Mus musculus: one gene and its partners. The protein of the gene in region 4 interacts with the protein of the main gene of each other region in a pairwise test. Links are inferred from orthologs where the notes say so. Each region holds a gene or a part of one and is shown on either strand. Other genes may lie near its edges. The genes, in order: Clec7a, Ldlrad1, Bcl2 and Bnip3.

The links.
Region 1: the proteins of Bnip3 (region 4) and Clec7a interact in binary tests that used the Homo sapiens proteins (3 or more experiments, as listed by UniProt). The two-hybrid records come from large-scale screens. The link is inferred for Mus musculus from reciprocal best matches to the Homo sapiens genes BNIP3 and CLEC7A.
Region 2: the proteins of Bnip3 (region 4) and Ldlrad1 interact in binary tests that used the Homo sapiens proteins (3 or more experiments, as listed by UniProt). The two-hybrid records come from large-scale screens. The link is inferred for Mus musculus from reciprocal best matches to the Homo sapiens genes BNIP3 and LDLRAD1.
Region 3: the proteins of Bnip3 (region 4) and Bcl2 interact in a two-hybrid assay, tested with the Homo sapiens proteins (2 studies listed by BioGRID and IntAct). The link is inferred for Mus musculus from reciprocal best matches to the Homo sapiens genes BNIP3 and BCL2.

The regions. Positions count from the first base shown.
Region 1 is NC_000072.6:129,462,193-129,466,424, forward strand, and holds part of Clec7a (C-type lectin domain family 7 member A), read right to left. Parts: intron 3,382-4,232; coding exon 3,263-3,381; intron 976-3,262; coding exon 849-975; 3' UTR 1-848.
Region 2 is NC_000070.6:107,207,122-107,212,129, forward strand, and holds the start of Ldlrad1 (low-density lipoprotein receptor class A domain-containing protein 1), read left to right. Parts: upstream 1-2,022; 5' UTR 2,023-2,043; coding exon of another isoform or gene 2,044-2,079; 5' UTR 2,080-2,348; coding exon 2,349-2,463; intron 2,464-4,486; exon of another isoform or gene 4,487-4,800; intron 4,801-5,008.
Region 3 is NC_000067.6:106,711,332-106,716,346, forward strand, and holds the start of Bcl2 (apoptosis regulator Bcl-2), read right to left. Parts: upstream 2,960-5,015; 5' UTR 1,550-2,959; coding exon 974-1,549; coding exon of another isoform or gene 950-973; exon of another isoform or gene 834-949; intron 1-833. UniProt on the Homo sapiens protein: Suppresses apoptosis in a variety of cell systems including factor-dependent lymphohematopoietic and neural cells. Regulates cell death by controlling the mitochondrial membrane permeability. Appears to function in a feedback loop system with caspases.
Region 4 is NC_000073.6:138,906,469-138,911,180, forward strand, and holds the start of Bnip3 (BCL2/adenovirus E1B 19 kDa protein-interacting protein 3), read right to left. Parts: upstream 3,039-4,712; 5' UTR 2,926-3,038; coding exon 2,895-2,925; intron 1-2,894. UniProt on the Homo sapiens protein: Apoptosis-inducing protein that can overcome BCL2 suppression. May play a role in repartitioning calcium between the two major intracellular calcium stores in association with BCL2.

The DNA of each region.
Region 1 (4,232 bases), on a different chromosome or scaffold from region 4:
ATAGAATCCCTATTTGTGGTGAAGATTCTCTTCCCTCATTTTTTTCACTTCTCAATTTAGAAGTTCATTTTGCCTTCTCCCTGTGTCTGGTGTACTGTAGATACTGAGAAAATCATGCAAACACAGTGTGTACTCTGGTACCAATATTTGATTAACATATATGTATATGTCTTACTAGTTCATTTAATGATACTGATCTGTACATATGTTCAGTGCTGACTTCTTGGGGTTCAGTAGGCTTGATCCTAGAAAAAGCTTTCCCCCTATTTAACTGTCTGTAGTTCTTCATAGGGCCTTGTGAAACTTCTACACCCATACCATACCATAACATACCATACCAACTGAGGTTGTCATTATGCAGATTTTGTTTGCTGAATTGTATTGTTTTTATTTCCTAGATATACTTTCCCTGTCCTGTCTAGAAAACACCACAGTAAGTAGGCTGATTCTCTGGCTTTTAAAGTCTTCAGTCTCACTCCTCTACAGTGTTTCCTGATAGTGTAGGGGTTTCATTGTGGTTGTGAAATTTGAGTCAGGGTACCTCAGGTTCACATATTCTCTGTATTGTTGAGCTGCCCTCACTCCATGTCTAGTGACTTCCTAACTGGAAGATAGTGCCACCATCTTTGTGAAGATGACAAGTACAAAAGTCTCAGCTTCTTCATCCAAGTTCTCAAATGAGGTTAAAGTCTCTTAGCATCCCAGCATTTTTTCTGTTTTTTAATATTAATCTGTTCTGTTCTGTTCTGTTCTGTTCTGTTGTTGGTAGTGGTGGTGGTGGTGGTGTGTGTGCATGTACACACACACACACACACACACACACACCATCTTTATATTCTCACATACATTTACAGTTCCTTCTCACAGATACTGTATGAAGAAGTATTGCAGATTTGGTTGTAGACCTCTGATCCATGAATCCATACACAATTGTGCAGTAAGCTTTCCTGGGGAGCTGTATTTCTGACTTGAAACCTGTTAGAAAAAAGTACAGTGAGGTAATTAAAACAAACAGAGACCACATAGGTCTTTCATGGAGCTAGAAAGTTTAAGAACATTGGTTAAAATAGTTTGAGGCATTTGAATTATTTAAAGAGGAATCTTTAACTTAGAGTGTATTAATCTTCAAGTGGTAATAGACTTGTCTTTATAATTAAGGTAAGAAAATGATGGTTTTTTTTCCCCTCAGAAAGGCTAGTATTATGAGTTGAATGAAATAAAGAGCCATGCCAATTAGTCACATTCAAGGATTATCATTGGGTCATAGTGCAAAAGTCACCACCTACTGAACTCTACCTTGAACGACTGCTTCTTCTTGACCCTGTGGTTGGTAGACTGAAAAAATCTGCTCTTGAATTGGCAGGGGTAAGATGAACTGCTTCGACCCAGACCTCTGGGAGAATATTTACCAGTAATTTCTGAAAATTTCTCTGACATTCAAGTGGTTTTGGGGGCAGAGATTAAGTTACTGCCACCCTGGAACATTTTAAAATGTTAAGCCCATTTTATGAAGTTACAAAGAACCATCTCGTTTCATTGTTACAATGGGAAAACAAATCAAGGTGAATAAATGCCACAGAAGAGGAAGGAGTATGTTCTGTGGGTTGTTAGTGAATGCATTTGGAGTGAATTAGTAGAGGAGAGGTAGCTGAGCACTGATGATGTAACACTGGGTGAGGGTGGGGGAGTGGGCTTTTCATTGCCACCACTATCCTCAGGAAGCAAATGAGGCGTTACTCTATGAACTTCAAGTTGACCCCAAAAGCCCTAAACAGTTCACAATGCAATGCTGATAATCAGCTTTCAAACACAATTAGGCATTTAAGAAAACAAACCAACTTGAGTGATGCACAGGAGAAAAAACAGAATGCACACAGAGTTAGCAGGTACAGACTTAAAAACAACTGTCCTGAGTGGCCTCTAGAAGTTAATAGATAGTATTGAGAATACTGTAAGCAAAGTGAGCTGCAAGTGACAAAAACAAAACAAAACAAAACAGGCAAACCAGAGGAATTATGAGAAATAAACAAAAATCAAAACAGAAATCAGTAAATTACAAAGGAAGGGAGGGAGGGAGGGAGGGAGGGAGGGAGGGAGGGAGGGAGGGAGGGAGGAGAGGGGGGAAGAAGGAAGGAAAGTGACATCAAACAGGACGATGCAACAATTCTAAATCCACATGAATATTTTAATATGGCTTTAAAGTATCAAGTGAAACTCTTAAAGAAATATAGGAGGACCCGTGTAGACATTTTCAATACAAATTAAGAGGGAATTACCACCAGATGAAGTATGTTCTCTGATCACAGAGGAGCTAAGCCTGAAATCTAAAAGATAAATAGGAATGTGAGAAGCATGGGTATGTGTGAAAAGTGAGAAATTTATTTCTATGTCTTGGATCAAAGAGCAACTCACCATGGAAGTCAGAAAGCATGTGAACCAAATGACTCCAAAGCCAAAAAAAGACTAGAGATGATGAGTTAAACATCCAACATAAGAATTTAGAGAAAGAATTCAGCTTAACACAGAGAAATTAGGTGAAAGGTAATAATATATATGAGAATCAACACTAGCCAAAGTGATAAAAGAGGATAGAGAAACATTAGCAAAATTTAAAAAAAGTAAAATTTAATTAAATTGGACTATATATATTAACATTAATGGGAGATTCAGGGATGCAGGAATATACATTGAAAGGGGGATAAAATTTTATATTTACAAATATTAGTGAACAGATGAATAGACATTTCAAAGACTTCAGCACACAATTAGGAAGAAATTCTAAGTTCACAAATGTAAGATAAAGTTGAAATAATGACATAAGATGTCATTTTTCATCGGTTCTGTAAAAAAATTATGCTAATGATTTTACCTTTATGCCCTTTACTTTACTATTGTAAAGAATAGCCACTCTATTCTCAGTTTTGGATAAAGAATGCAGCTATAAAAGAAGTACAGAGATTTGTCCAATATCTCACGTACATAGATTGGGTTAATCGTTACCTCAGACTTAGGTAAGTCCAAGGCTGCACTGAACAGCATCTCTCCTCACTGGGCCAGAAGGACCAGATGCCATGGGAATCCCTTAGTCAGCACCAGGAGAGCATCCTTTACAGCCTCCCTGAGAGCTGTTCTCTTCATCTCTATGTCTCTTTCTCCCTCTCCCTCCGCCACCATGACTCCGTTTTCTCATAAGTGACCAGAGAAGTAGATTTTGTAACTGCATGGTAGGATTCCACCTCTCCATGTCTGTACCGGAACTTACGAGTTGGGGAAGAATGCTGATCCATCCTCCCAGAACCATGGCCCTTCACTCTGATTGCGGGAAAGGCCTATCCAAAATGCATTAATACGGTGAGACGATGTTTGGCTTTCAATGAACTCCTGTAGTAAAACAAAAATACAAACATACATCAGGGGGATCCTAAAACAATGCTATAGGCATCCAGGGCGGAATGAATCCTTTTACAGAAGGACGTTCACATAAGGTGACAATCTAGAGAGGACTGTCAATCACTGAATATCGTTGAATGTCTAGAGAGGTGTTTTAGAGTTATTTTTAATTTTTCCATCAAGAATAGATTCATTAATAAAGATGTGAGCTAGGGAGATGGCTCAGTGGGTAAGAATGCTTGCTGCAAACACATGAGGACCTCGATTTGAGTTCCCAATATCCATGTTAAAATGTCAGGTGCATCCATACATGCCTTTAACTCCTGTATGGTAGGGATTGAAGACAGGAGAGTCCTGGAGTTGGGTGGTTGTAAGCCTATCTCTCTAGGTTCAGTGTGCAAACATACATGCATGCATACATACATACATATACTCTCTCTCTCTCTCTCTCTCTCTCTCTCTCTCTCTCCCTCTCTCTCTCTCTCTCTCTCTCTCTCTCTCACACACACACACACACACACACACACACAGAAGCTCTCACACAAACTAAAGGGGGAAAATAGGCTTAAATTATCAATATTCTACCTCAATTAACAAACTACACAAAATCCAGCAGTGCCCAGCTCCCAAGCAGCTTCGTGGGAAATGGGCCATTTGTTTTTTGTACAAGTAGCAAACATAAACTCATAATAGCTTTACCAAGGAAAATAATGCTGTAGAAGAGACCCAGAGCCTGGCAGGTGTCAGGTAAACTCTCTTCTACAGATCTACATCCTCAGCCCTGCACTGCATGTTTTATGGTTAAAATAATCCAAGACTCTTGAATTGGTCACAAAAATAGG
Region 2 (5,008 bases), on a different chromosome or scaffold from region 4:
GAGCAGCTTGACAGTGTCCCAGACATCTTGGCTGCCTACAGTAGGACTCTAGGGGCAAGAGATCAAGCACACCTACTAAAATGTAGTAAATGTAGTAATGGGTAGGACCCTGCTGCCCTTCCTTTGAGGGTTCCTGGTCACAGCAGAGCTCTGGAGAGATGTGATTCTTCCAGCCAGGCATGGCTAGACCTGCATTGAAGGAGGAGGCCAAAGGAGGAGGCATGGAGCAGGATGAGGAGGATTCCTATAAAGGAACACAAAGCTGATGGGATAGTTCATGTCTGTCTTCGCAGTACTTGGGAAGCAGAGGCAGGAGAATTGCCATGAATTGGAGACCATCCTGGACTATAAAAGCAAGAGTAACATGGATACATACATACATACATACATACATACATACATACATACATACATACAAAGGGACGCTAAAGAATCAAGAGTCTGTGGAAGTCATACTAAAGGGCATGTGTTGGACCAGGAATGTACTCTGCTGTCCACTCTGACATCTGTAGTAGGCATTACTAATCAATCATAGACCCTGACGTTAACATCCTTCTGAAATCATGTGCCTCTTAGTCTCTACTATCGTTGGCACAAAAAAAAGAAATCTAGGTACCATCTTGCGTTTATATTCACCCCCTTCGGCCTTTTCCTTTTCATGGCTTCTCAGCCTGGCTTGCAACCGCCATTGCCCCCCCCCCCTTGCCTACCACAGACCAGTGAAGCTAGGGATACGAGAATTGCCAACAGCTTCATCCAATGGCTGGCAGGATGGGATGAGTGCCCCGCTTCCCTCGGGTGAGTGCCTTTGAGATGCATCTTCACCAGTGTCCCCAAATGCCTCGCAGAATCCAGGTGCTGCCCCATAACAGTGAGCAGCGTCTTTCCCTTCACCTCAGCTCCCTCACTCCACACCAGCATGTCCAGGATCCTTCCCATTAAGACCGTCTGTCCCCTGTTCTTGTCAGAGTGCCCAAGTCTGAGAAACCTACACTCAGGCACCCCTGCATCTACATGCCTGTGAAGGGAAGGGCCTTTCCCAAGCCATTGGCAAGGTCCTTGTGAGAGCCAATACTTAGCTTGCCCAGTCTGATGGCGACCTATGTCTCCAGCCTCCATGGTTTGGCTTGTATTTCCCACCACAAGAGAAATGGCCCAGCACAGAAATCACTGATGGGAACTCCTGGACACCTGCAGTGGGTACTACCCTCGGGGTGGGCCTCAGAGCATCCTCATCTGCTTCAGGGCCCCTGTCTCCTCCTTAGACTAGATTGCTAAGAAATCTACTCCATGCTGGGACAGAAGATATTCTGGAAAGCAGCTAGCTCCCACCCAGATACCACCCCCAAAAAGCTAAAAAATATATTTCTCCATGCTTTCAACAATTCAAATATGTCTTTCTCTCTTTTATTTATTAATATGTGTATGTGTGTGGTAGAGGTGCACGCATGAAGTGTATGGAGTCAGGACAACTATGTAGAGTGGGCGCTCTCCTTGTATCTGCACATTCATCCTGGGACTCAAACGAAGGTCCTCAGGCAGGCACCTTTATCCACTGAGCCATCCTGTTGGCCCTCAGAAGTGCATATTCTTCTGGTCTAGAAGAATGAACATGAACAGTTCATCAATGAGAAAAGGAACTCTACCTTCTGGCCACTGAACCAAGACTCATGGCACTTCTGCCTGTGGCTTCCTTCAGCCAGGGGGCCTTGCCACCCTGCAGTCTGATGATGCAGAGGAGAAAAATGTGTTAAAGCCTTGGTTCCATCTCTCCCACATATAGTGTGACTTGAGGCACAAACACCAGCTTGTCATCTGTGGAATTGGATGCGTCACTGTCCAACTGCAACCTAGGGAAAGACGTGGTAGGAGCAGGTACCCCTGTCCTTTCCTCCGTGGGGGAGGCAGCCTGGGAGGAGAGTGCCACAGGAGAGGGCACAGCCCTAGCAAAGCCTGTTGCTGTCCTGCCCTCCCACAGGCTGCCCTTGGTGACAAGGTGGAGAACTCTACACTGAGCTCTTTATTCCACCTCAGTTCCTGGAGATGAGTGTTGGAACCATGAACAAAGTCTTCCCCCAGGTAAAAGCTGCCTGGGTCTGAACTGACTCTTGACCTAGGGAGCCATTCTGCAGATGGAAAGGGCTTGTGGGAGGGGACCCTAGGACCCACGGCCACATCCATCTGCCCTGGGGACTCGCTCCACCTGAGATCCATGAGTACTGAGAAGCAGCACAGGACACCTAGGGGTGTTAGGGCACTGTCACTAGGAGGACCTGCCTGAGTCAGTTTGGAGGACAAAGGAGGAATGGGTCCTGTACGGGTCGAAATGTGGAAATGTGAAGCCCAGGATGAGCGTGGGCTGTGAGAGAGCAGAATTTTGCCCAGCCTGCTTCTGGTTTCTTGGCCAGGCAGATGCCGAGAGTAACATCACCACTAGAAGGAAAGCCCGCCCTGGAGATGAAGGTAAGGACAGAGGTGGGGGTCAGGCTGGGCGCTGTGGGTCCCTCCCTGGAAACTACCTGACTCTAGGTAGAGAGTGTCTGAGGCTACTCAGCTCTTCTACTCCAGTGTGGGTGGTGAGGTCTGCTTCCAGCTTCCTGGCCAGCCATACTGACAGCTGCTTGCTGGATAGAACTTTTCATTCTCTCCAGCTACCAGCATTTTCTGAGTGCCTACTATGTGCCTTTTGCCTGCTGGGCCACCACACAGAACCTATAAGACCAAGGACCTCCAAATCAACCTCTGGCCCCCATGCCTGACCTGGATGCTCCTGTTGATCATAAGATGGAGTCGGCCAGGACCACACACTTGTACTTATTATGTTTCCCCAATTCCTGTGCAGCCGGGACCTTTGTATCTCCCTGGGTCCATCTTGGCCTACAGTTGATGAAGGAGGAAACAGATAGATGCTAAGAAGGGTTGTAACCCTTTGCAGACCCTTCTGCCTCGGATCCCTGGGGCTGCAGACCTCAGTTTCAGGACAACCCTGGGTGGGTGGGGTACTAGAAGCAGCTGAAGCTAAGAGAGGTTGAATAATCAGGTCACAGTTATATGGCATCGGAAAGGAGGCCCCTGGTTGCTAAGCTTCAGGGTCATGCCCCATGCTGGTGGCTTTTTCCAAGTTGTCACTCAGTGCGGCTTATCATAGGTGTGGTTTTTCTTCCTTTGCCCTGGGTGGGCAGTTTCTGAAGTTTCTGGCTTTAAAGTGGGTTTAAAGCTTCCCTCCACTTCTGAGAGCTCTCAGCCTCATCTGGAGGGCCAGACAAGGTCAACTAGGAAGGAGGGTAGCGACTAAGTCTCCTGTGTCAGGCCACAGAAAGGCAGAGGCAGGTTTCTCTCATCCCTTGGGCTCTTAGGTTCTGAGACAGGCATTGCTCTCACTGGTGCCCTGTGTGGGTTTGTGTGTGTGAGCGCATGCATGTGCAAGCTCGCAAAGTTGCCACCAAGGCAAGAGCTCTGCCTGCTGCTCCAGTCTTGCCTGCAGCCCCACCTTGCACACAACATGAACTGCACAAATATTTGAGGAACAACCACTCAGCCAGCTCTGCTGCCCCGTATCAACACGATCTCCCTGGTGACCCAAGTTTACTCTGTGTTGCTGACCACAAAGGAACCACCAAGCAGGGCTCTAGGAGCCTAGGTTTTTTTAATGTATACTACACCTCCTGTAGGCCTGTTGTCTCATCTACCAACACATACCCACATACCTACATCCTCACCAGCCACCCACCAGGCCTCTCCTCCCAGACCCTCTCCCTGGAAGGCCTGCTCTTTGAGGCCTCTGCCCTGCCCCACCTCATAAATCAGCTGGTTTTCTTGAGGTCCTTATATCACCCGGAGCTCCTCAGAGTCCTGTCCACATCTCCCTAGCTACTTTTCATTTGACACTGCAGGCACAGGTCTTGCTGACAGGTGGCTGGAAACTTGAGTGGAGTGTATTAAATGAGCCAAATCAGGATCCTCCCCTTGTCTGTCTTCTGTATCTCTAGTTTGCGAGCTTGCACATGCATGCGCTCACACACACAAACCCACACAGGGCACCAGTGAGAGCAATGCCTGTCTCAGAACCTAAGAGCCCAAGGGATGAGAGAAACCTGCCTCTGCCTTTCTGTGGCCTGACACAGGAGACTTAGTCGCTACCCTCCTTCCTAGTTGACCTTGTCTGGCCCTCCAGATGAGGCTGAGAGCTCTCAGAAGTGGAGGGAAGCTACTTTCCTGCCTTCCACAGAGCAAGGTGCCCACGAGGCCCCCAAGGAAAGCTGCTTTGCTTCATTTTGCAGGCAAGCAAGAACTAGGGGAAGTAAGCCAGGCATAGTGGTGTACACCCTTAATCCCAGCATTTGGCAGGTGAAGGTAGGCAGATCTCTGTGAGTTCAAGGCCAGGCTGGTCTATCTAGTGAGTTAGGATAGCCAGAGCTATATAGTGAGACTCTGTCTTAAAAAAAAAAAAACAAAAGAAACAAAAAAAAAAAAAAATCAGGGGAGCCAAGCACAATTCTAGAGCGTGGGACATCTGCCAGCTACTCCTGTTACTGCTGTCACCACAATGCCTAGGAACACTGTGGCACTTGGTAGACGTACAGCAAACACTTAGCCCACACTTTGCACCTGCTGTTTTAGAATACTCATTCAACAAACCAACACCACCCAGCAAACTACAGTAACCCTCACGGTGCCGGCTTAGCACTCAAGAAGACTGGGACACAGAAAAGCAAATGGTTCATCATGTGGCTAGGAATCCATGGAGCTGGGACTCCAGGCCACATTCTGAGGGGCACTAGAACAGACGACAGGCTGGAAGTAAGCAAAGGGTCTGGGGTTTGGCATCAAACAGGTGTCATGGCTCAGCCCAGAACAGGGGTGACCAGGACGTTTGCTTCTTTGAACCTCAGTTTGTCATCCACAGAAATCAAGTTCAGGTCCAGTCCATCGTGGCAGGGACTCAGGGAGCTGAAGAGGTGCTCATATCATGCCCGCAGTGGGAAACAGGGATGGATGCAGTCACTGC
Region 3 (5,015 bases), on a different chromosome or scaffold from region 4:
TATAGCAAGTCTTAAGTCTGCTCTCTGCCCTTAAAGAACCAGAGAAAAGCTTAAATCACACGGTAAAATATGGAAGCTGAACCTCCCAAGATCCCAGAAAACTATCACCCCATAGATGCTCACCAGTGTTGTGGATACGAATCATTTTAACTTGTCAGGGCTGGAGACGCCACAGCTAAGTGGACTCCATTACCCCTTTCATAGGCACCCTAGATGCAAGTCCATTCAGCAGTAGAGATCGCAAAACTATGTAGAATGCAGGTAGAGAAAAGTAAGACATACAGTGGATGCAGACTTCTAAATCATCGCATATTCGTTGACGGACATGTTTAGGGTGCACACCCACCATGCCCACTGGGGACTATGGCATAGACAGACTGGATTCCACAAACATCCACGAATACCTACCTAAGCTTACCTTTTTTTTTTTTTTTTTTTTTTTTTTTTTACAAGCTTAGCTATGATTTCCAGGAAAAGGAGCCGTGTTGTTTTTCTTTGGGAAAATGTTCCCAAGTGAGTTAGAAAAGGTTTGCCTGCGTCCTCTGGTGGAGCCTGCATGTCTAGATGGACCTTTTAAAGTTTGTTAGTCCACCAGAGGAGCTAAAGATGCATAGGTCAAGAGGGAGTGTTGGAGGTCTGGTGCTTACACAGGACCCAGAACATCTGCAGCAAGCTACTCAGACGAACTAACTCTGAGAGTTACTGGAGGGATGCTATTATCTCCAGATCCTACTGGATCAAAAATGCTGGATTCTTGCTCCCTCACAGCCAGCGGGCAGGAGTTAACACAGTGTTGGCAGGGTGTGATGTACCCAGAGGAAGAGAGTGAGAGGTCAGGGGAGCAAAGCTACAAACTCGACTTTATTTCATCTGCTCAATGGCCCATTTTGACCCAGAATCCACTCACACCCCAACCTGCGCATCTTGGCCTTGAGATCAAAGCCCAGACTCATTCAACCAGACATGCACCTACCCAGCCTCCGTTATCCTGGATCCAGGTGTGCAGATGCCGGTTCAGGTACTCAGTCATCCACAGGGCGATGTTGTCCACCAGGGGTGACATCTCCCTGTTGACGCTCTCCACACACATGACCCCACCGAACTCAAAGAAGGCCACAATCCTCCCCCAGTTCACCCCATCCCTGAAGAGTTCCTCCACCACCGTGGCAAAGCGTCCCCTCGCGGTGAAGGGCGTCAGGTGCAGCTGACTGGACATCTCTGCGAAGTCACGACGGTAGCGACGAGAGAAGTCATCCCCAGCCCGGCGGAGGGTCAGATGGACCACAGGTGGCACAGGGCTGAGCGCAGGCCCAGCGGTGGCAACGAGGGGCCTGAGAGGAGACGTCCTGGCAGCCATGTCCCGGTGCACAGCGGGCATTGGGTTGCTCTCAGGCTGGAAGGAGAAGATGCCAGGGGTGGGGGCAGCCCCCAGGGGCGCCGCGTCCGCATCTCCAGCATCCCACTCGTAGCCCCTCTGTGACAGCTTATAATGTATGTACTTCATCACGATCTCCCGGTTATCATACCCTGTTCTCCCGGCTTGCGCCATCCTTCCCCGAAAAGAAGCTGCAGGTACCAATGGCACTTCAAGTCCCGACTCCCGCCCCACGGCCCCGAAAGAAAAAAAAAAAAAAAAGAATAGTTATAATCCAGCTCTTTTATTGGATGTGCTTTGCATTCTTGGATGAAGGGGTGTCTTTAGTTACACCGAACACTTGATTCTGGTGTTTCCCCGTTGGCATGAGATGCAGGAAATTTTTATTCAAATTCCTTTCTGCTTTTTATTTCATGAGGTACATTATTTATTAAGCTTTGTTAATATCAGTCTACTTCCTCCGCAATGCTGAAAGGTGAAGAGGCGGGACGACCTAGGAAGTTAAAATCAGGTGTGTTTTCCTTTATATATTTAGGGTAAGAAAGGTATATCCGCTACAAGTTACACGTTTAAAAATGCATTAAACTGTCTGGAAATGAAATTTGCTTGAATGCACTTGAAGTAAAAAAATATTTCAAACGCGTCCATGGAAAGTTATATTAAACAAAATTCCTGTGCAAAGAACTTACTGTATTTTCTAAGGACGGCATGATCTTCTGTCAAGTTTACCCTTTTTTGGTAAAACCCAAACAAATACATAAGGCAACCACACCATCGATCTTCAGAAGTCTCCTTGTATAAGCTTCTTTACAACTTGCAATGAATCGGGAGTTGGGGTCTGGGGGCTAGGTGGAGGAAAAATCAGGAGGGTTTCCAGATTGGGTCCTCACACTCCGGCTTCACTGAGAATGTCAATCCGTAGGAATCCCAACCAGAGATCTCAAGAGCACCGCAGCGGGGCAAAAAGGCAGCGGCGGCGGCGGCAGATGAATTACAATTTTTCAGTCCAGCATTTGCAGAAGTCCTGTGATTCTCCCTTCTTCTCGGCAATTTACACTTGCACACACACGCTGGAGCGCAGGCATGGATCCGTATCCACCGGACCGCTTCAGACCTCCAGGGCAGAGAGACACGCCAAGGGGACGATGGAGGAGCTGGGGGACCGGGACCGGAATCCTCTTCTGATTAAACTCCGAAGGGCCAACGCGCTTTCCGAAACGGGAAAAAAAGCAGCTTGCTAAATGCAGGCACGGACGCGCTGGGGCCGCGGGTGCCCAAGGAGCAGCCCGCGCACTGTGTGTGGTGCGCTGCGGGAGAAGGAGGTGGTGGGGGAGGGTTTGCCCCCCCTCTTTTTCCTAAAAAGGATGACTGCTACGAAGTCCCCCCCTGGTCCCCTCTTCCGCTGCACCCCACCGGCGCACCCCGCCTCCGGGCTGCGCACCCTTTCTCCTCCTCCGCTGCGGGCGGCGCTGGCGGCCGCCTCCTCGTGCTTGCGCCGCGCAGCCCGTTCCACGGTGACGGCTGCGGCTGGGGAGGGCCTGGGCACCTCGGTGTTGGCGGCGGCGGCTCGGCGGGGACCCGGACGCGGGGCGGGAGGACGGGCCGGGGAGGAAGGGGGCGGGCGCGGGGCGGGGGGCCCGGCCTCTTACTTCATTCTCCGCCGGAGCGCCTGGTTTCCTGTACGTACGTCACCGTTCATTCAAAAAAAAGAAGAAAGAAAGCCCTCCTCTGAGCGCCCGCCCGCCGCCTCCTCCCGCCGCCCGCCAGCCGCCCGGGTTAAAGGCGCCGCGGCCGCCCCGGGGAGCGCGCGCCCGGCCGCGGCCGCTGGCCTGGGTGGCGGCCACCCGCGGGCTACGCTGGGCCCCGGACCGTGGGTGGCGCGGGCCTCCCGGGCGGCAGTGGCTCAGTGGGCGTGTGAGGGGCCTCCTCGGGCCTGCGGGGCTGGCTGCTGGCTGGACGTGCCTATAGCCAGGGCCAGGCTGTGGCGAGGCACCTGGATCTTTTCTAACAGGATGGGCACAATTGCATGGATCTTTTTCAACGTGTACAGTGTGCACGACCGCATGGACTTTTTCTATGTAGCATGTGCAGGTCACATGGACCCTTTCTAACCGCGTGCATGGAATGTGCACAATCCAATGGACCCTTTCTAACCACACATAAAGTGTGTACACAGTCGCTCTGTGTGTGTGTGTGTGTGTAGTGCAGTGTATCTACAATCATGTGGACCCTTTAAACAGTGTAGTGTATACAACCACATATAGTGTATAAAATCAAACAGACCCTCAGCTAACCATGTGAACCCCCAAACACTATGTTATCAGCTCTCAGCAGCCAGAGAGATTACCGAGACATATATTGACTCCTAAGTAGTGAGTAGTACCAATATGCTACCCTTGGGTGAAGAGAGGCAACTCCCAACACAGTCTCCAGGATATTAATTACAAATGAAAATACTTAGAATAACAACGTTAGCATGCTTGTTTCTAGGCCCTTTTGTCCAGACACCACAAGCTGTGTAACTTAGAACAGGTCTGAGTACTCCTCTGCTCTGAAGAGCATGATGTGATGTCCACAACCAGCAAGGGATGTGCCTCAGAGGCTGGTCTTTCCTCATCTCTTCTTAGTCAGACAGTGGCAGACTGATGGCAGTCGCTGATGCTCTTGGCTTGTTAAAGAATAGTCAAAGTGGTATGCGGAGTTACTTTGGAGGTGTCCAAGCAGATACCACATGAGCACCCAGGCGCTTTTAGCCTCTATCCAGGCATACCCAACTTGGTGACCAAGGCCAGACCTAACTCGCAGTGGGCCAGTGAAGAGAGGAGAAGAGAACAGCAGAAGTTTGAGTTTCAGGGACAGTTTTTCCTCTGCTCCTAACGCTCCCAGCACTGGGCTGGGGCTGGACCTCAGGGAGTGATACCTGCCACCTTTCAAGGCCATGACCCTAACACGGCATAGGTACGGTTTTGGATATCCTCAGCTCTGACCAGCATGCAACCTGAGACGGCTTCAGAAGATGCAGCCATACAGATAATGTGTCTATGTACCCACAGACACACAGTGCCACTGTCACTTGTATGAACCCAGACAGAAACAATCAAGCTGAGAGATAGATACATAAAACACCAAGAAAAACTGTGCTATGTGATAACTATGTTATCAGCTCTCAGCAGCCAGAGAGATTACTGAGACATATATTGACTCCTAAGTAGTGAGTAGTACCAATATGCTACCCTTGGGTGAAGAGTGGCAACTCCCAACAGTCTCCAGGATATTAATTACAAATTAAAATACTAATGAAAACTCGTGGTTGGTGAGATGGCTCAGCGGTTAAGAACACCGACTGTTCTTCCGAAGGTCCTGAGTTCAAGTGTCAGCAACCACATAGTGGCTCACAGCCATCTGTAATGGGATCTGATGCCCTCTTCTGGTGTGTCTGAAGACAGTGACAGTGTACTCACATACATTAAATTAATAAGTAAATAAGTAAGCTGTTCGTTCACAGGCTAGCAGGTTGCCACATCGGGCTTAAGAACAGAGCACATGTGCAGGGTGGACAAGTCCCACAGGCTTGCTGGATTACTGTGGGAACAGCACATTCAGTCACTATCTTTACCTCATTCCAAGTTTAAAAGGGTGT
Region 4 (4,712 bases):
CCCAAACACTAGGATCAGAGGCTTGCATCATCTCTGTACCTACTGGATTCTAAGACGAGTGAACTTATCTCTCTGCCTATTGCTAGGCTGTGCCTGTCTGATACATCCTGAGTCAGGTGGCTCCAGGTACCCCTCTGGTGCTGAGCAGTCTGTGCCAGGTCCTTAACTGAAGTAGCCATCCTTAGTTCCACTTAACCTCTGGATCTCACTAGGACTATTTACAGAGGCTAGAGCCAAGGAGAAACCCCTTCAGTGTATCCATGTTTTCTCTTCATGCAAGTCTGTCCTTGATAGTTTGCCTATAACCAACAGAACCACTCATCAGAACCAGTTGCAGACAGGGCAGCTAGCTAAGTGAAGACTTATTAAATCTATACAGTGGACCTTTCAGGAAAGGGCAGCAACCAAGGCACAGAAATATCACAATACTTATCTCTCCTCCAGCATGCCAGAAGTCATACAGAAAAGCCCTGCTCCTAAACACCTTTCAATAAGATGGAGCAGAGGTAAAAAGGGAACAGAACCAATCAGTGTTGTGGGTAACGCCTTCAGTAACGCTGGTCCCAGAGGTTGCTATGGGGAATATTTGCTGTCCCACCTACCAACAAGGCTTCCACAGCTCTCAGCCTCAGAAGTAAACACGAAGCGGCAAACAGAGGAGCTGCCTCAGCTCTGACTCCAAGCTGGGATTCACATTTCATAGGGCAGCTGAGATAACCCATGTGACTAAGTGACCCCTCCTACCCTGAGCTAGACAGTGAGCCAGTGCTGAGCTGCACGTACACCCCAAACAATGGCCCAAATCCTTAGCCTGAGTTTCCACACCGTAACCATCTTTTTATAGAATAAGTAAAAGAGAAAAACACAAAACCTTAACCCTTGAAACGTCTAATGACAACCCCCTTCTGCCAATGACTCAGCAGTCTGGCGTGCATGTCAGCTGAGTGTATGTTAACCGAGACCTCTCAGGAATACTCAGAAACTCCCCTAGATGAAGTCTTAACAGCATAGTGTCAGAAATCAAATTTCAACTAGCTACGAAAGTGACTTTACACAAAACATCACTTGATCTCTTAAGAGAAAAGACAAAAAAACTTCTCAATCAAAAAATTCCAACTGTTTGACGTTTGACATTAGGGAATAAAACCTGAATTACGAGATTTTTTTTTTAATGTGGCTGTAGTTTGAAAATACAGATTCTGTAATGTGTTAGGCTGATTAAATTCTGCCTACTAAAATCTCGTTTAGGGTAATAAATTCAGCTAACTCAGTGTCTCTGAATGCAAGCTTTTTAAAAACTCTTTTAACACAACACTGCTCTGAGTTACCCTATTCCAGTACTCCAGGACACAGAATCTCTGGACAGCATAGTCTACACAAGTTCTAGGACAGCCAGAGCTATACAGAGAAACCACGTCTTCACACTAAAGTGGGTACTGTGGCCCACACCTTTAATCCCAGCACTAGGGAGGTGGAGGCAGGCAGATCTCTGGGAGTTCACTGAGAGTGAGACCCTGCCTGGGGGGGGGGAGGGGAGTTGACACTAAAGCATTCATTTTAAAGGTTTGGAAAGCCTCTCTCTCACGTTTACTGACATGCGTTTTACCTGGTGAACTCTTGCTTCAGAGAGTACAAAGGTCAACAGGATCCTCCTCCAGTCTCAGGGCCTGAGACTCAACTCAGACTCAACTCAGGCCCACCAGGTAGCTCTCAGAAATGGACAATGGCACATAGCACCCAGGCTGGCCTTGCAAAACTAGCAGCTGTCTGCGCAGTGCTAACAGTCTGTAAAGGCTGATGCTGGGAGAGCCTTTCTGTTATTTGTGAGACAGGGTCTGGCTACAGAGCCCCGAACTAGCCTGGTACGACTGTGTAGTCCAGGCTAACCTGGAATTTGTCAAGACTCAACTTCACCCACCCCATGATGGGATTTTAGGTGTGTCACCACACCCAGCCTCACTTCCATTTTAACCTACAATCTACTTCACTGCTTGCAGTGAGCCTACTGAACTAAATTATAAGCACTTTACCCTCCTTTTGAGCTGTTGTAGCTCTCTTCCACACTACCTCCAGCCATACCCCCTCTCTGTTTTTCTCTTTGTAGACTTGGCTGTCCTGAAATTCACTCTGTAGACCAGGTTGGCCTCGAATTTACAGAAATCCCCCTGCCTCTGCCTCCTGATTGCTGGGATAAAAGGTTTGTGCCACCACTGTGCGGCTATCCCACCTCTTAACTCTAAAACCTGACAGAGGTCTGAAACCCTGTATCCTCCTCTTCCATCAGGAAGTGGCAACAAAGCAAGCCAGGGGTAAAGATTGGGGGAGAGGGGACACAGCGGCAAAGCCTGTTAATTCCAAATTCCAGCTACTCTAGAGGCTGAACCAGGAGGATCACAAGTTCAAGACCAGTATGTCTTAAAGCAATAAAATGAAAACTGGTAGTGTTGCTCGGGAAATGAGCACTTACCCAGCACGTTCAGATCTGGTTCTGTCCCCAGTACCAAGTAGGAAAAGTGAAAGGCACTACAGTCATAAATATTAATGACTTCAATCAAAGCACTGAAAATTCAACTGCAACCTCTAACTCACTTAAGCAACTCTGAACAAGGGGACGCCAAGGGCCTGAAATCTGAGCTACTCGGGAAGCTGAGGAAGGAGGATCGCAGAGTTCGAGGCTCCCCTGACCTACAGAGTCTGAAAATACAGAACTATGACAGTGTGAAGAACAGAGCAGGAAAGAAAGACCCGGCCTGCCTGTGAAGGTACTGTCTGTAAGATGCCCCGAGGCTCACCACCCAGCCCCGGCTGCACCGAACTGCATCGCGGCCTCCACTCACCGCACCCCAGCCCGCGACCCTACCGCCTCCGCGGCCCCTCTCGGCCCACTGCCTCACCCTGCAGGTTCTCCTCCCCGCTCTGCGACATGGTGGCTCGGCAAAGGAGCCCGAACCCAACTGCGACAGGCCTGGGAGGCGGTCACCGAGAGGTAGCAGGGGCAGCCTGCGCCGCTCAGTTCTGAGGCCAGGCGACACTGGACTGAGGGACAAGGGGCGGGGCGGGGCGGGACGCACGCGGCGGCGGAGCCCATTGGCTGGGGGGCGGGGCCTGCAGGTGGGGGAGGAACGCGGGGGAGCGTGTGGCACGTGCGGCGCGTGCGCCGGCATGGGCGGGGCCTGAGGCAGGAGTGCGCGGGAGGGCGGCTGTTTTTAAGGTCTAATGCAGAAGTGGACCGGGGGCTGTGCCTGAGGCTGGAGTAACTGGGACCTAGGCGGGTAGGGAAGAGTCTGGGGGCGGGGCTCGAGGTCTGAGCCTTGGGACTCCGAGGTGCGCGCATTGCAGAGGCCAAGAGGCGGGTCTTGAAGCCAGGCTGGAGGTGGGCAGACGTGGGCGGGCTCCGAGATAGGCGTGGCATGAGGACGTGCGGCCAGGTTTTTGGGCGTCTGGCCTTGGGTGCTGAGTTTGCCCCTCCTGCTCGCGGTTGACCCATAGTTCCCCAATCTCCTCCGGAACCTGCGAGCGCCAGCAATGGGAGCACACATGGTCTCGCTGTCTCTATGCACGCTTACAGATAGTTTTTTAGGTTGCATCTTTAAGAAAAATGCAGTCCGGGAGTGCTTATGTATAACTCTAGTCCCAGCCCTGGTTCGTGGCCAGGCTGGGCTGCACTGTATGAAGCTGTTTACAACAAAGCAAAACAAAAAATTTGCCAGTATTCTACTGCAGCATCAATGGCGAGTTGGGTAGTGCTGTGGTATGCTGCATGCGAGAAAGGACGGCATTTTTGGACAGGAACGGTTGGAGAGACCTTTGGAGGGCCAGTTTTGAGGATTCTGCATCCTCCCTGTAACCTACCCAGTAGCTTCTCTGTACTTGGAGGTTGGAATTCCCTCTTGATACAGTTCTGGGATAGAGAAGGGGCTTGTGAACCTCAAAAGAAGCTATCTTAGTAGCAGTGGGTCAGGTCACTAGAAGCAGCTTCATTTGGTGTTTTGTTTTTTCCCAGACAATGTCATAACCGAGGCTGGCTTTGAATTGGCTGTGTAGCAAAAGCTAACCTTGAATTTCCGATCCTACTGCTTTCGCCTCCTGAGAGCTGGGATTATAGCTATGCAGCCTTGATTTCCGTTTGTTTTGTTTGGAGTGCTAAGGTTATACGAGGGCCTTGCACATGCAAGTTCACTGCAGCTGAGCCATGTCACCAGACTGAATCTGATGTCTTTTTTTAGACAGATTCGCTTTGTAACCTACTCTGGTCTTAAACTTTTTTTCCTGCCCCAGCTTCCCAGTGGTTCCACCACTCTTAACTGAAAGCTTGCTTTCTTACAGTGCTCGGAGCTCTAGCCTAGGGCCTTCAGAACAATAAACAGATTCTCTGCTACAGACACCAAACCTTTGTCTCAACCCCCCAGGTGCTGGGATTACAGACATACTACCACACCTAGCAAGAAAAAAACAGCTGTGGTCCTGCTTGGTGACAGACTCTGTGTCCAGCAAGAAACAGCTGTGGTCCTGCTTGGTGATAGCCTCCGTGTCCAGCAAATCCAAGGGTTCAATCCCCAGCTTGCATAGATATGTGTGCCTGAATGACAAAGGGAAAGAGAAGGGTCTGGGAATTCTCTACACCAGTCTACTAAGAAAAGGAAAAACGAAAATGTGGATTTGAAGGGGTTAGGGATGTTATAAGTAGAAATTTATGTTTATCCTTTTTTTTT